Linked DNA regions of Astyanax mexicanus. The protein of the gene in region 1 interacts with the protein of each later gene in a pairwise test. Links are inferred from orthologs where the notes say so. Each region holds a gene or a part of one and is shown on either strand. Other genes may lie near its edges.

What was found.
Region 2: the proteins of znf277 (region 1) and gngt1 interact in a two-hybrid assay, tested with the Homo sapiens proteins (3 studies listed by BioGRID and IntAct). The two-hybrid records come from large-scale screens. The link is inferred for Astyanax mexicanus from reciprocal best matches to the Homo sapiens genes ZNF277 and GNGT1.

Annotation. Positions count from the first base shown.
Region 1 is NC_064417.1:35,275,866-35,284,101, reverse strand, and holds the start of znf277 (zinc finger protein 277), read left to right. Parts: upstream 1-4,806; 5' UTR 4,807-4,854; coding exon 4,855-4,888; intron 4,889-8,236. Other genes in the region: dock4 (dedicator of cytokinesis protein 4), read right to left, coding at 4,500-4,536. UniProt on the Homo sapiens protein: Probable transcription factor. Involved in modulation of cellular senescence; represses transcription of the tumor suppressor gene INK4A/ARF, perhaps acting via the Polycomb group (PcG) complex PRC1.
Region 2 is NC_064410.1:48,608,031-48,614,888, forward strand, and holds gngt1 (guanine nucleotide-binding protein G(T) subunit gamma-T1), read left to right. Parts: upstream 1-4,832; 5' UTR 4,833-4,919; intron 4,920-5,040; 5' UTR 5,041-5,043; coding exon 5,044-5,139; intron 5,140-5,483; coding exon 5,484-5,609; 3' UTR 5,610-5,867; downstream 5,868-6,858. UniProt on the Homo sapiens protein: Guanine nucleotide-binding proteins (G proteins) are involved as a modulator or transducer in various transmembrane signaling systems.

The DNA.
Region 1 (8,236 bases):
CCATAATGATGTAAGTATATGGACATGACTTTGGAAAGGTTTTGTTGGTTTATGGTCATTTTTAACCATATAAGCCATACAGCTACAGTGCTGAACCAAACTAATTCTGGACACCAAGGGTTCCTTGTCTGAATGACTATATATCTAAGAAGAGGAAAATTGTTTGTCAAACTAAGTCCGCATCTTGACACAGTCCGAAAACAAGCTTTCATCTCCAAACATTGGTAATTTTCAAGAGAAAGAAAAATCATTTAACTTTTAATATTAGTAAGTTCTAAATATTTCGTGTCATTCTCGACAGTATCAGTTGGAGGTACAAAATTACAGCAAGAAAAAAAAATAGAACATTAACCAAGGCTAGTGTCAACAGACTCCAAATTCTAGATACATTATATCAGACAGTACCAAAAATGAGACACACAAGCCCCTCTGATAGTAATACAATTAATAGTTAAGTATTAAAAGTTTATTTTAGTAAAACATAATTAAACTGATTAATTTTAAATTACAACTCTAAGGTAAATTACAAAGCTGAGGCACTAAACATTTGCTAATATAATAGACCCATATTTTATTCACAACAGAACTTATAACACATATCAGATGTTAAGTCAGAAATAACTGCCTAAGCCAGTGCAGTGATTTCCAGTACACAATCATGTCTGGTTTTAATGGAGTGCCCCCCGAGGGCCCAAAGATCACCAGTATCCAATATTCACAGTTGGCACTGTGCCTTGAGCACAGAGATTATTCCAGATTTTCAGAATCTGGAATTTTGTACTGTAAATAGTGGGATATCTAGTCTTCACTATTTGTAGACTTCTGAACGACACTGTCTCACTTAAATGGTCTTTTTATACCAAGCCATGTGATTTAGATGCATATTGTTCCAATTTCATCTGTTTTTTCTATTAGTCCCACTTGCTTTTCCAGCCTTTTTTGCCCCATCCCAAGTTTTTAATCAGTTTGTATTTTCATTAAATAGTAAAATGTCTCACTTTCCACATCTGATATCTAATATCTGTTCTATTGTAAATAAAGTGTGGGTGTTTATACACAGCATCCCAACTTTTTTGGAATTGGGCTTGTACTTGATTATCAGTGTAACTGACAGTGATATCCCTAAACAGCCTTTAGTATGAGCTGCTTTCATTTCATTTGAGATGGTTTCATATGAGCTTGTCAGAGCTGCTTTACCAAGCTGTTGTCTGTTCCAGGACATGTGGTCCGGCCAGCTGAGAAGAAAATTCAGAACAGTTTTTAGAACAGAACGAAGGTCCGTCATCATGGAAATTCATGCTGTTCTGTTTACAGAAACGTGTACTATTTGATGACGGTTTTACAATGTACAGCAGATGGCACCTCAAGCTGAATATGCAACCAAGAGAAAAGAGAAGCCAAGATTACAGTGTGTGTGCGCGTGTGTGTGTATGGGTGTGTGTGAGAGTGTAAATGTGGGTGCCCATGTGTGAATTTCTGCATGTGTGTATGTGCCATTCCCCGCTGGACTCCATCCATATTTCATGAATGATAAAGGTTTCTGTAGCTGTGTGCACCTTCCAAAGAGCAGTGCTCTAATACGCACACATTTCTCCATATCCCACCCTAATGGGCTCTGTAGCCTTTACCACTCACACAGCCAGCCACCAGACAATCCTCCAGCTCATTATCATCCCCAGTCCACAGCAACTTCCAGAGCTGGCATTATAGTATAGAAGGGTATCATTATCAGGCTGATATTCTAGATTGGAGTTTAAAATGGTAAAAAGACTGAATCTGATCCAGTTCTGCAGCAAATCTAGCTGTCTCTGTCCTTCTGTGGTGCGACAAAGTGTTCGACTTTTGTATGCAAATTTTTGAGAGAAGTGCTTCAATTAAAAATAGCTCACTGAAAGAACTGGTTTTACACAACTTCTGCTATCATATAAAAAACCCAATCCATTTATACATATTCAGTGTCTAGATTTAATTTCTTTCTTTCTTTATTTTTTTTGCACTGGAGCTGCAAAGCAAATGTAGCTAAAATACACAGATTTAACAATTATTTTAAATAAATATATAATCAATATATAACATAAATAAATAACATGCCCACACACTTTTTTACAGCCTAAGTGATGCTAACAAGGTTGACATGCTAGATCGGATATTGGAAGAGAAAAAGATAACATTGATTATGTAAAAACTACACAATGTCCAGTTTTATTTTTTTTTTAAGATCTGAAGTTAATGTAGATAACTCTATGAGTCAACAGTCACCTACACTTTTTTTCTTACTTTTTATCACATACACACAGACTCCTTTCATGACAAATCGCATCAACTAGCCTGTAAAGCATTAATGAAGACATACATGTGAGTGAACAAGTATTTGAAATGTATATGAACACTATTAACCTCTAGAGTTAAAGCTAAAAATGTTGGCTTTGCAGCTCCAGCTTATCCATACATAAAATTTGGATACTGAATCTTGCTTTACTGATCGACTACATCCATGACAAATAAAAAATTGCTAATATGACTGTTTACCAAACCCAGTAGAATTTAGCATCTTCTCTTCTATGACAGACAGAGTTCTGCAGTTTACACAAAGAGATGCAAGAAGAGCTGCTGCTGATGATGATTTTCTCTCAATCTCTTCTCCTTTCTTTTATTTTCTTTTTCCCTTTTGAGAGACATTTATATTGTTGGTCTCTCCAGCTTTTGTTTGCTCTGCACCCCTTCATGCTCGATTTTCATTTTATATTGCTCTTTTCCTCTCATTTAAACCACACTGTCTGAATCTGAAACATTATATCCTTTATCTGTTAGATATGAATGTCAATTTTAACCAAAAAGGCTTCTATAAGGAACAGGAAAAAACACATATGGTTTTGTAAATAACCATACTATAAATAAGATATTTTTAAGGTTTGCCATAATAATAGTTTTTTTCTAGAGATGGGTCCGAGGCAATAGCAGATTAGAAGGTCTTGACAATCAACATCTGAAACTTTCTACAGTGAGCATGCTTAGAAGTACATGAGATAAAGCAATTTTGGATTCTGGCTCAAATGGATTCAGTAACTAATTCCTCCCAAACTGTCAGAGCCTAATCTGAAATGGGTCAATGAACCCATGTTACTGTAGTGTGCAGTTCAGTATAGCTATGCCATGCAGAATTCTGAGTCCTCTGACTTTTGCTGCCACTCAGCCCACTTTAGACTCAGCAAGATGCCTAGGTCCACTTGCTTGCCCGCGGGAAATGGCCACCCAGATTTTGATGGATTGCTCATCTGCCCTAGTACTCGCATCTGACAAGATTTATCTCTCAAACTGTCATCTACTGTCACAACAAAACCAGCCTGGACACTAAAACAAAACATAAGAACTGCTTGTATGCCTTGAGTTTTATAAACAGATGGGGATTTTTGATGATTTCATGACCTTTTTGATAGTGGAGGGCACATTTGATCCAAACTTCGCCACACAAGAGTCACATGAGCGTCACACACAAGCACACAAGCACAAACAAACACACACACACACACACACACACATCACCACCACTATATATGTACTGTATGTACATAAACCATTACATATATAAAGCTCTGGGAAAAAAGAGACCACTTAAAAATTATGCGTTATTTTGATTTTACCCAATTGAATTATCAGACATCAAACCAAGCAGAATTGCTTGAATTTTGGCACTAGGAGTGGCATAAAGTTATCCAAAAGCAGTGTGTAAGACTGGTGGAGGAGAACATGCCAAGATGCATGAAAACTGTGATTAAAAACCATGGTTATTCCACCAAACATTGATTTCTGAACATTTTGAATATGAACTTGTTAAGGTCTGAAAGCTCTGCATCTTTTTTGTTATTTCAGCCATTTATCATTTTCTGTAAATAAATGCTCTAAATGACAATATTTTTATTTGGAATTTGTTCATTTTTCTCAAACAAATACCTATAAATAGCAAAATCAGAGAAAGTGATTCAGAAACTGAAGTGGTCTCTTAAATCATTCTCAATATAAAATGTTTTGGGTATATATTGGTCATTTGTATGTATACATTAAAACATACAAACAAATAAAAATAATAATAAATAAGGACAAAGAAAACATATATATATATATATATATATATATTATTCTAGGCGTACAGAGGGTGGGGGCTTCTTATTTGTATTTAATGACCACGAAACAAGATTTCTCCGGATTGCAGCATGTGCCAGTGATTAAACACCAGTACAATCAAACAACCGGACATAAACCACTGGAAAAAATACCACTGCAACCAGTCTGCAGTCTAATTTAAAATATTCGATCTCAATTCTGTTAATCGATGATCACTGCACACATTTCTGTCAGTCAGATCCGGAGCGCTGTATCACACGCAGAGCCCCAGGGTGCACAGATTCCCCATCTTATCACTATCATCACACCTGCAGTAATCCACCTATTACAACTCACCGGTCCATTATAAAGAGACAACAATGAAAACCCAGACTTACCCACGCCATATTTTTCGTGTTCAGTCGGTATCCACATTTTTCCCGCAGTCTAGCGAATAAGAAGCATGCTATAAACCGGGGTAATGATGATCAGTGATACAGTCCATATTGTTGTCCCATTGGCTTTGGCTGTATTGTTCGGAGCGCAGACGCGCAGCATCCCACATAGCTACAGCACATTTTCCCAGCCCCGTAAAAAAACAGGGAGGCTGGGCTTCATGGGAGATGAAGTATATGAATGACAAATAGAAGATTTTTAAAAACTACAAGGTCCAGAGCTCTCAGTAACAGGATCGGAGCGCTGTGATTGGCCAGCTCGCAGCTGAGCGCATCACGTGACTCTTGTTTCTTGGAGATGGCTGCCCTGACGAAGAGCCCAGAGTTAGCAGGTAGCGTTAGCTGGCCTTCTGCTTTCACCATGAAACACTGTTTATTCTCTTATACGTCTGATTCACATGTTAGCGACTAGAACCACACGATAACACAGGCTCTGGCTGCTCGGTTATTACTGTTCAGTGTTAAACAGAGAGAGACAGATAAGACCGAGTGTCTGCAGCAGTGAGAGTGAGGGAGTGAATATTAAATATGTGTGTGTGCGGGTGACAAGGGAATATTCAATGTTTATTTATTTTTATTTTAATTAATTAAAAAATGCTGAAACTGATTGCAGGTTACAGATTTCACAACTGAATCAGAGTAAAGTAACTCTAGCTATATAGCTACATTATTAGTAGGTTATATGATTAACAAGTGACAGTTTAATGTGAGTCGCGTGTGAGAGAGTGTAGGAGGGACTGTGTATAGGAGTGAAAATGAAGAAAAATGTAGTTAACGTTAAATGGTGGAGTAAATATGAGCAGTGAGTCAGCGAATAGAGGAGTGAATAAAAGGCTTGTGAGTGAAGCCGTGAGTTTAATGTGTGTGAGTCAATTGTGGGAAGGAATAATTGTGTACCAGTGAGGGTAAGATATGTGGATAAATGTAGGAGTGTATATAAGGTGTGAGTATTATATGTTGGCGTGAACATAAGGTGTGAATGTGGGAAGGAGTGAATGAGTGGAACATAAGGTATGGAAAGTGAATGTAGGAGTGAATATAAATCACTATACGATATGCAAGAAAGTGTAAGAGTAAAAATATAGTGAGTGATTGAATGAAGAAGTGAATATATAGGGACTGAGTGAATAAAAGGGGTAAGTGTAAGCTTTATTAGCCAATATAGTGTATGTAAGAAAGTCTAGGAGTAAATATAAGGAGTGAGTGAAAGTAAGAGTGAATTAAATGGATGAATATATGATATATATATATATATATATACAGGTGAGGACGATATTATTAGCCCCCCTATGAAATTTTAAGTCTCCTCAAGATTCTGGCAAGATCCTTTTTAGCAGAGCAAGGCAGTTCTAACAGAGCATTTCTGAACATACAATTTTTCATTAGAAGGACCAAAATATTTATATTTGTGCACCAAAATATTATTTTGTAAGAATAAGCTAAAATGACCAGGGACATTATTATTAGCCCCCTTTAAGAAATTAACATTTATTAAGTCATCACACAAGCCACTTTTGTGCAGTGATGTGCTTTACCTTCTCAGGTGATGTGCATAAAGGTGATCAGGTGAAACAGATGACTGCACTCAATTAAGTTAAGTTAATTAACTCATTTAAGTTAAAACATGGTATAAAAGCCTCATTATGGAGCTGGCAGTTGAGGAAGCAACATGCCAAAAACAAAGGAAATCAGTTTGGACCTGAGAAAAAGAATTATTGATGCACACAAAGCAGGAGAGGGATATACAAAGATATCCAAGCGTTTCCAAGTGTCAAGAACTGGAGTGAAAGGCATCATTCAGAGATTCAAAGACAGCAACACAGTGCAGAACAAGCCTGGCAGAGGTAGAAAGAGAAAGATTTCAGAGAGACTGGAAAGAATACTAGTGAGAAATGTGTCTAGAGACCCCAGATTAACTTCCAAGGCACTGGCAAATGACTTGGCCACATCAGGAATCATAGTCTCTAAGAAGACCATCACTAGAGCTGCACAGGAATGACCTGCGAGCGTGCAGACCAAGAAAAACTCCACTTTTGAGGAAGAGGCACCTTCAAGCAAGACTAAAGTATGCTCGGGACAACCTGGAGAAAAATTATTCATACTGGAAGCGTGTCTTATGGTCTGATGAGACTAAACTAGAGCTCTTTGGCCACAGGGACACTGCTTATGTTTGGAGAAAAAAAGGACAGGCATTCAACCCAAAGAACACCATCCCCACAGTGAAGCATGGTGGTGGGATTATTATGCTATGGGGATGCTTCAGTGCATCTGGAACTGGAAATCTTGTCAAGGTGGATGGAATCATGAATAAAGAATAATATGTGAATATTTTGAAAGAGAACCTTAAGCAGTCAGCTGTGAAACTGGGTCTGAGACGTCATTTCATTTTCCAACATGACAATGATCCTAAACACACATCCCTCCTGGTGAAGAACTATCTCCGGATGACCAAAGTGAATGTCATTGAATGGCCTGCACAAAGCCCTGACTTAAATCCAATAGAAAATCTGTGGGGTGACCTAAAGAAAAATGTCCATGCAAGACAACCATCGAATCTAGAGGAACTTGAGAGATTTGCCAAAGAAGAATGGGCCAGGATTCCTCAAATGAAGTGTGAGAGACTTGTTGTAAACTACAACAAACGTCTGCAGGCAGTAATCCAGCAAAAAGGATACACAATTAACTATTAGGATGTGGGGGGCTAATAATTTTGACCCAGATAGTTTTTGTGTTTTGTGTAATATCTTCATTTCTGAGTGGAATACAATATAGTGTAAGCATCCAAAATAAAACTACGATGTCTAAAAAAGCTGTGTTTAGTTTATTTTGCTCTGGTTAATATCACTTGGAAAATCCTTAGAAAACAAGGACTATTTTGTAAGGGGGCTAATAATATCGTCCTCAACTGTATATATATATATATATATATATATATATATATATATATATATATATATATATATATATATATATATATATAAATCAATATAAGGTATGGATAAAAGTGTATATATAATAGAGAGAGGGAGAGGGAGTGAATATAGGAGTAAATATATTGAGTGAGTGAATGTAGGAGTTAATATATACGATTTATGAATCACTATACGGTATGAAAAAAAAGTGTAGAAGTAAATATATAAATGAATGTAGGAGTGACTTTTAGATAGGGAGTGTATGAATGTAGGAGTAAATATATAGAAGGTGAGTGAATGTAGGAGTGAAAATATGGGTGTATATAAGATTTATAAGTCAATATAAGATATGTAAGTAAGTGTAGTAGTGAATATCAGTCGCATTGTATGGACCTATTCAATTTATTTATTTTTTTTAAGTAACTGTACAGTTACAGTAAATAGTACTGGAAAGGCTTTCCACTGGATTGCTGAACATTGCTGTGAAAATTGCATTGCAATCAGTAAAATAGCTTTAGTGAGGACAAGATGTTCACAATGCTCACTCCACTGCTCATTTCAAAAGTAATAGTACAGTTCCACTGCTTCACAACAGACAGTCCTCATTTATTGTCAGTACTTTTCTGCATGGATTAGAAAATCTCTGTGTGTTTACTTCCATGTACACATCTGCAGTGGCTGTATCTTAAACTAGCTAAATCTATTCATGCATGTTAGAATGGGTGTACACAAACATTTGGACATATAGAGGCAGTTTATTAGACAGTG
Region 2 (6,858 bases), on another chromosome or scaffold:
CGACGAAATAGGTTGAGTGCCAGCTGGGAATGATGTGGGGTTGATGCTGCAGTTGGTCTGCAGGTCTAGGTTCAGCATCAGTATGTGCTGAAAGAATGAGGTCAGCTGACTACCCGAATATACTGAATATAGACCAGGTTATTCCATCAATAGATTTTTCTTCCCTGATGACACGGGCATATTCCAAGATGACAATGCCAGGATTCACGGGGCTGGAATTGTGAAAGAGTGATATAGGGACCATCATAATTTTCGCACATGGACTGTTCACCAGCTTCCAGACCAGACCAGAGTCCAGACCTTAACCCCATTGAGAATCTTTGGAATTTGCTGGAGACGGCTTTGCGCAGATCAGATTCTACCATTATCAATGCAATGATCTTAAAAAAAATTTGCAACACTGGATTGAAATAAATCTTGTGACATTGCGGAAGGCCTAACGAAACAGTGCCACAGTGAATGCAGCTGCAATCCAAGCTAAAGGCGGTCCCACAAAATATTACAGTGTGTGACCTTTTTTTTGGTGGCAACTTTTTTTTTTGGCCTGGCAGTGTATTTTATATATACCCTGCATTTAGAACTAAAGTCAACACCACACTGTAATCAAACAGAAATGTTGAGTGTAAATCAACAAAACAAACAAAGCAACAATACGAATTCCACCCACTGAACATAGTGACATAGTGGGTGTGACATACAGAGCACCCTGATTGGTCCATTCTTGTGCTCAGTAGACCAATCAGGGTGCACTGTATGTCCATTACTGGCTGCATCAAGAAAATTTTGCTACTCCTCCTCTCCTCCTCCTCCTTTCCTACTCCTTCTTCCCTACTCCTCCACTTCTACCCAGAAGAAAATTGAGAAATTAAGGAGAGGAGGAGGAGGAGGAGGAGTGGAGAGTAGGAGCTGTGATTGGGGGAAATGGGACAGCTAAACTCTTTCAGATATGATGTTGACTACTGATTAACTGAGCCAATCACAAGGCTCGCTTTCAGCTTACCCTCATACTACCCAGCCGATCACAGCTGCTGCAAACAGTCAGCACAGATACGGCCATCCTTTTAATTGCCTTTTCTTTGACATGGAGGGTGGAGGTTTTTGCCGTGTTCATAGTGCTGCCTAGAGCTCATTGTTCTGTATGAGCCCAACCCAACCCGCCACATAAACTGTCATCACCCGTTTTAAACCCCACATTTTTAGTTAAGTAGAGCTGTGGGTGCCTGTACTTTCTGATTTCTGCACCTCAAACATCCATGGAGCCTGCCCTGCATGATTACGAAAAATGTGTGGTGTAGCAATTGGGCAACGTGCCAAGCTTTTCATTTTAGCCGTGTAAATGGCTGCAGCTACAGACAAGTGGAGGAGATTGTGTGCACACTGCATAGGCCAATGCTTACTTTGCTATACTGTGATTATCACGCCGTAGCTTTATATAAAGGAAAAATAGCTTTTTAATAAAACAATTTAATAAGACTATTTTCTTGAACTCGACCCAACAGAGGCCGGGGTTCAGGGCAGGCATCGGATCAGGACAATGGTGGACAGGTGGTGAAATAACACACTTTTAAAAAGATGTATAAGTTTAATTTCAAGTTGTCTAAAATATAATAAGCATTCCTTTAAACAATCCTTTAAGAAAAAAACCCTTTGACATCAGTAACATTACAACCTTCATACTGTTTTATTTATTCATAAGACGCTTGGATTCTTTTTGATTGTATGTTTTAACTTATCTTGAAATTACATGTCTGTGTAAATCACATGTCTGTGTAAAGCTGCTTTGTGAAAACATTTCTTTTAAAAAGCATTATATAAATGCTTGGGTTTGTTTGTGGATGAGGTGAGAGAGTGATCACCTGACACTGTCACCTCACAAATGCTCTTGTCACTGAATTCTATAAAATCCTTATAGCAGTGCTCCAAAATTTAGTAAAAAGTCTTCCCTGGACAGCAGAGACAGTTACTCCACAAAAGCAGGATGAACTCTATTTTTCCCCAGGAATTCAGAAGAAAAAAATAAGCATGTGTCCCAACACTTTTGTCCATACAGTGTATATTCATACATTATGTAATACCATCTGTGCAAATATTTTTTGTATAAAATAACAGCAATATTCCATGTTACAGATAAATCAGATTTTGTAGACCAAAAAATTTAAATGTAAGTTTTATATGGTAGTGAAAAAAAAGTAATTGTTGCCATATGTGTAAAACAATTGAAGCAGTAAAAGGTTAAATACATGGTGAAATTTCTTAAGCCTCAAAGTGGTTTCAAAAGTATTCACTGACCACTCATTAATCTTATTTCAGAGAGCAACACCCCTGAGACCTGACACAACAAAATATTACAGAGTCTCTTAGGAAACAGCATTTAGTAATAATGTGTTCATTAAATGTCACTGGTTCCTCGACACACCCTGGCCTTGTTTCACGTGCGTTAGCTTAACGTAATGATTCTACATCAGCCTATAGCAGGACTCAGCCATCAGCGAGACATTATGAAAGATAACAAGTGCAACCACTCTTCCCGCCTGAGGGAAGCAGGCCAACATAAGCAAATACTGAGGATATGAGTTATGAGTCTCGACATGCTTGTTGATTAGAAGAGCGAGGAGAAAACGGAGTGCTTGTTTTTTTTTTAAGTTTTGACATACTTTCAATTTGATAAGCTAAAAAAGGATATTTTGACTCAGTCAGCTACGCACAGAGGAATGACTTAACCGCTGTAATGACGTTTTACACTTTCACTAATGCCAGGGAAATAGAATATTTGAGTCAGAAGCGGTCGTGTCCGAGTGACCACACTGTATAAAACAGCATTACGCCACATCACCAACACACCTTTTAAACCTTGTGCTCTGTGAGTAATCAAAATACACAGACAATGAAACATAAACTGTTATCTTACTAAACTATTATCTTGAATCCTAGACTTACTGTTATTACTGTTATCACTGTTACTGTAATTGTAAGATCCATTACTCAGTATCTACTACAAATTATTCAATATTTATAAAAAAAAGTATTATGTATTTTCTATAAACAATTCAGTATCTACTGTAAGTGATTCCATACCTACCACAAACAATTCAGTATGTACTATGAATTATTCTGTTTCTGCTATAAATGATTCAATATCCACTATTAATGATTTATATATACTACAAGTTATTTATTATCTGTTATAAATGGTTCAGTGTATTCTATAAATGATTGAATCCAAAGCTAATTTTGTACTTGTAAGACCCATTACTCAGTATTTACTATAAATTATTCAGATTCTTCTATAAATGATTCAGTATATATTATAAATTATTCAGATTATTCTATGAATGATTCAGTATGTACTATAAAGGATTCAGATTCTTCTATAACTGAATCAGTATGTACTATAAATGATTCAGATTCTTCTATAAATTATTCAGTATGTACTATAAATGATTCAGATTCTTCTATAAATGATTCAGTATGTACTATAAATGATTCAGATTCTTCTATAAATGATTCAGTATGTACTATAAATGATTCAGATTGTTCTATAACTGATTCAGTATGTACTATAAATGATTCAGATTCTTCTATAAATGATTCAGTATGTACTATAAATGATTCAGATTCTTCTATAAATGATTCAGTATGTACTATAAATGATTCAGATTGTTCTATAACTGATTAGTATGTACTATAAAGGATTCAGATTCTTCTATAAATGATTCTGTATGTACTATAAATGATTCAGATTCTTCTATAACTGATTCAGTATGTACTATAAATGATTCAGATTCTTCTATAAATTATTCAGTATGTACTATAAATGATTCAGATTCTTCTATAAATTATTCAGTATGTACTATAAATGATTCAGATTCTTCTATAAATTATTCAGTATGTACTATAAATGATTCAGATTCTTCTATAAATTATTCAGTATGTACTATAAATGATTCAGATTCTCCTATAACTGATTCAGTATCTGCTATTAGTGATTTAAAATCTACAATAAAGTACCCTTGTTTAAACTCACTATTGATTCACTATGTACTATAAATTATTTTGTATGTTCTATAAATGATTCTAAATCTACTAATTATTCAGTAACCATGGCTATTAATAATTTCAAATCTACTTCAAATGATTCTGTATATTCTGTAGAATATAGTATCTACAGTTAATTATTATTTAAAATAAATCTTTTTTTTATATTAGTACCCATAGTTAATTTTTCAGGATCTACTAAATATTTCAGTATATTTCATAAATTAAGTGATTAAGTATTCACTATAAATGATTTGGGATATACTATAAAACTGATGTGTGAAATTTAAGTACGGGCCAACATACGGGCATGTAGGGTTTAAAGGATTAAAGGAGTAGTTCACAACAAATCTAATGTACCCAGTTTTCCCCCCAGTTTTCAGAATGAGCACAGAGCACATGTCACAGGCATAGCTTTTATCATGCCACTCGTGGTCACTGTCTGGCCAGAGGGCACGTCTCCCTCATTCATTTCTTGAGGGAACACATTTGTCATATTAAGAATGATGATGTATTATCCAGCGTGATGGGTTGGGGGTAAACACAGATTAGCTTGCTCAACATAGAAGCCTGTAATGCCCTGTCCCCTTGACCCACATTGATACTGTGATATTAACATTGAGAAGCCACTCACATATTAACCCTGGCCATAAATTAAAAGCTGTGAAGCATTTAAAAATATATTTAAAAGGCCAAAAACAGTAACATTGTCATTACATTAGAGTAAAAAAATACCTGAAATAAACTGCAAAATAAGAGTGCTTGTTTTAATAAGATTAAGAGATTACAATGTTTATACAGATTACTTTATAACCCGGATTGAGAGACAGGCGCAGGATTCTCTGGCCATTTTCAGGGTGGAAAGGAGCTCACCGTAAGCAGCAGTAAGTTTGACTATCATTGCTTTAATGTGAAATATAATACTGTTTCTTTAGCCTTGGTTTGAAATAATGTGCAGTATTTGTTGTTGTTTACAAATTTGTAATTTAGTTTCTTTTCTTACAGAAAATGCCGGTCATAAATGTAGACGATTTGACGGACTTGGATAAGGCAAAAATGGAAGTAACTCAGCTGAAAGTTGAGGTGAAACTAGAGCGAGAAAAGGTAAGGTCTGGGTAATTATATATTCATGATCAGCTGTTGGTGATGTAAAATAAATAAATAAAGATTTTGGCACCTAAAGGTTCTTTTTGGAAAAAAAAGAGGTTATTCTACACTGTTAAACAAATAAGAATAAACTAGAAAGCTTCAGGTGGTCTCTTTAAACTTTTTGCTGAGGGTTCCTCTAAAGCACTTTAAGGTGTTCCTTCACAGTTTTAAATTAAAAACCCCTAAAAGTTTCATGAGGATTTTCCATTTAGTTCTGTAATTATGCATTACATTGCATTATACTTGATACTGCATATTAATATTGAATAATATTATTTTTGCCCTTTTTATTTGGTCAGGTGTCTAAATGCTGTGAGGAGGTCATGGAATACATTCAGGCAGGTGTAGAGGAAGACATCCTGGTCAAAGGCATTTCAGAGGAGAAGAATCCATTCAAGGAGAAAGGTGGATGTGTCATTTGCTAATGTGGACCGAGGAACACCCCTACCTTTTACTCTTTAGACCTTGGGTACTGTACATGGACACCTGCTACTGTTTAATCATAGCTGGAATCTTCGCTGCCGCCTGAGACAGGGGAAACACAATGAAGGATAGATACTGAAATTATTCTAAAAGGCTTGTTTTACTCTGTAAATAAACCCCCTGGATTTGGACCCTCTCACAACTTGTGAATTGTGCATTCCTCTGTGAAGTGGTGAATAAATAAGAATGCATTTGTGCAATGATTGTCAAAGCCTGGTTTGATGAAAGAAGCTTGTTTGATGTATTTTTTTGTCTTGTTAAAATACAAATTATGATCACACATTCAAAATATGGCATAATTTTTGTTGATGGGGAAAATGTTCTATTTTTTTGTTTATTTATGTCTGTGCATATTGCAGTTTCGTAGTTATGGAAAAAAATGAAGGATCCCCAACATTTTTCATTCACATGACTGTGGGAACTGTCTGACCCACATATGGTTGTAATCCATGTTCTTCTTCTGACAGTTTTCTCAGCTGTCTTGATGTATTGCTTTTGGTCTCAGTTTATTTAGATAGGAGATTATATCTCCCTATAGATCATCAACATCTACAGATGTTCAAATTGTTAACAAACAATCTTTTGAAACTCAGCTGTCTTTTAACAGTGTAGGGGACCTTATAAAGCCCAGACTGCAGGTTAGGTATACTGTAGGTTGTGGGTTGAGATTTAGTTGTGTAAAATATTTCTTTTTAGGATCAGGTTTAGAGTAGGGGGAGGCATAATCATAACATCTTTTCATATCATGATAAATTATTTTATTGTGATACACAATATAGCTTTCTTAAACATCAACTGTTTCATTACAAAGAGTGTAGTTTGTCATAGTCTGAGTTTTTAATTGACAGAATCTATATATGATGCATTTAATATGTATGTCAAGTATTGTGTATAATGAAAATATCACAATTAAACAATATGATACAATATTTTAACCATATTGCCCCACCTCTAGTTTAGGATTTGAATAAATTCAGCTAAATGGAATATATATATTATTTGAATATACGTTAAAGGTAAGTTAAAAAGTTTAAATTGTGCTAAAGTAATAAAACATGAATATATATATATATATATATATATATATATATATATATATATATATATATATATATATATATATATATATATATATATATATATATATAAAATATTTACAAAACATGTATAATGAATTTTAGCCTAAATTAA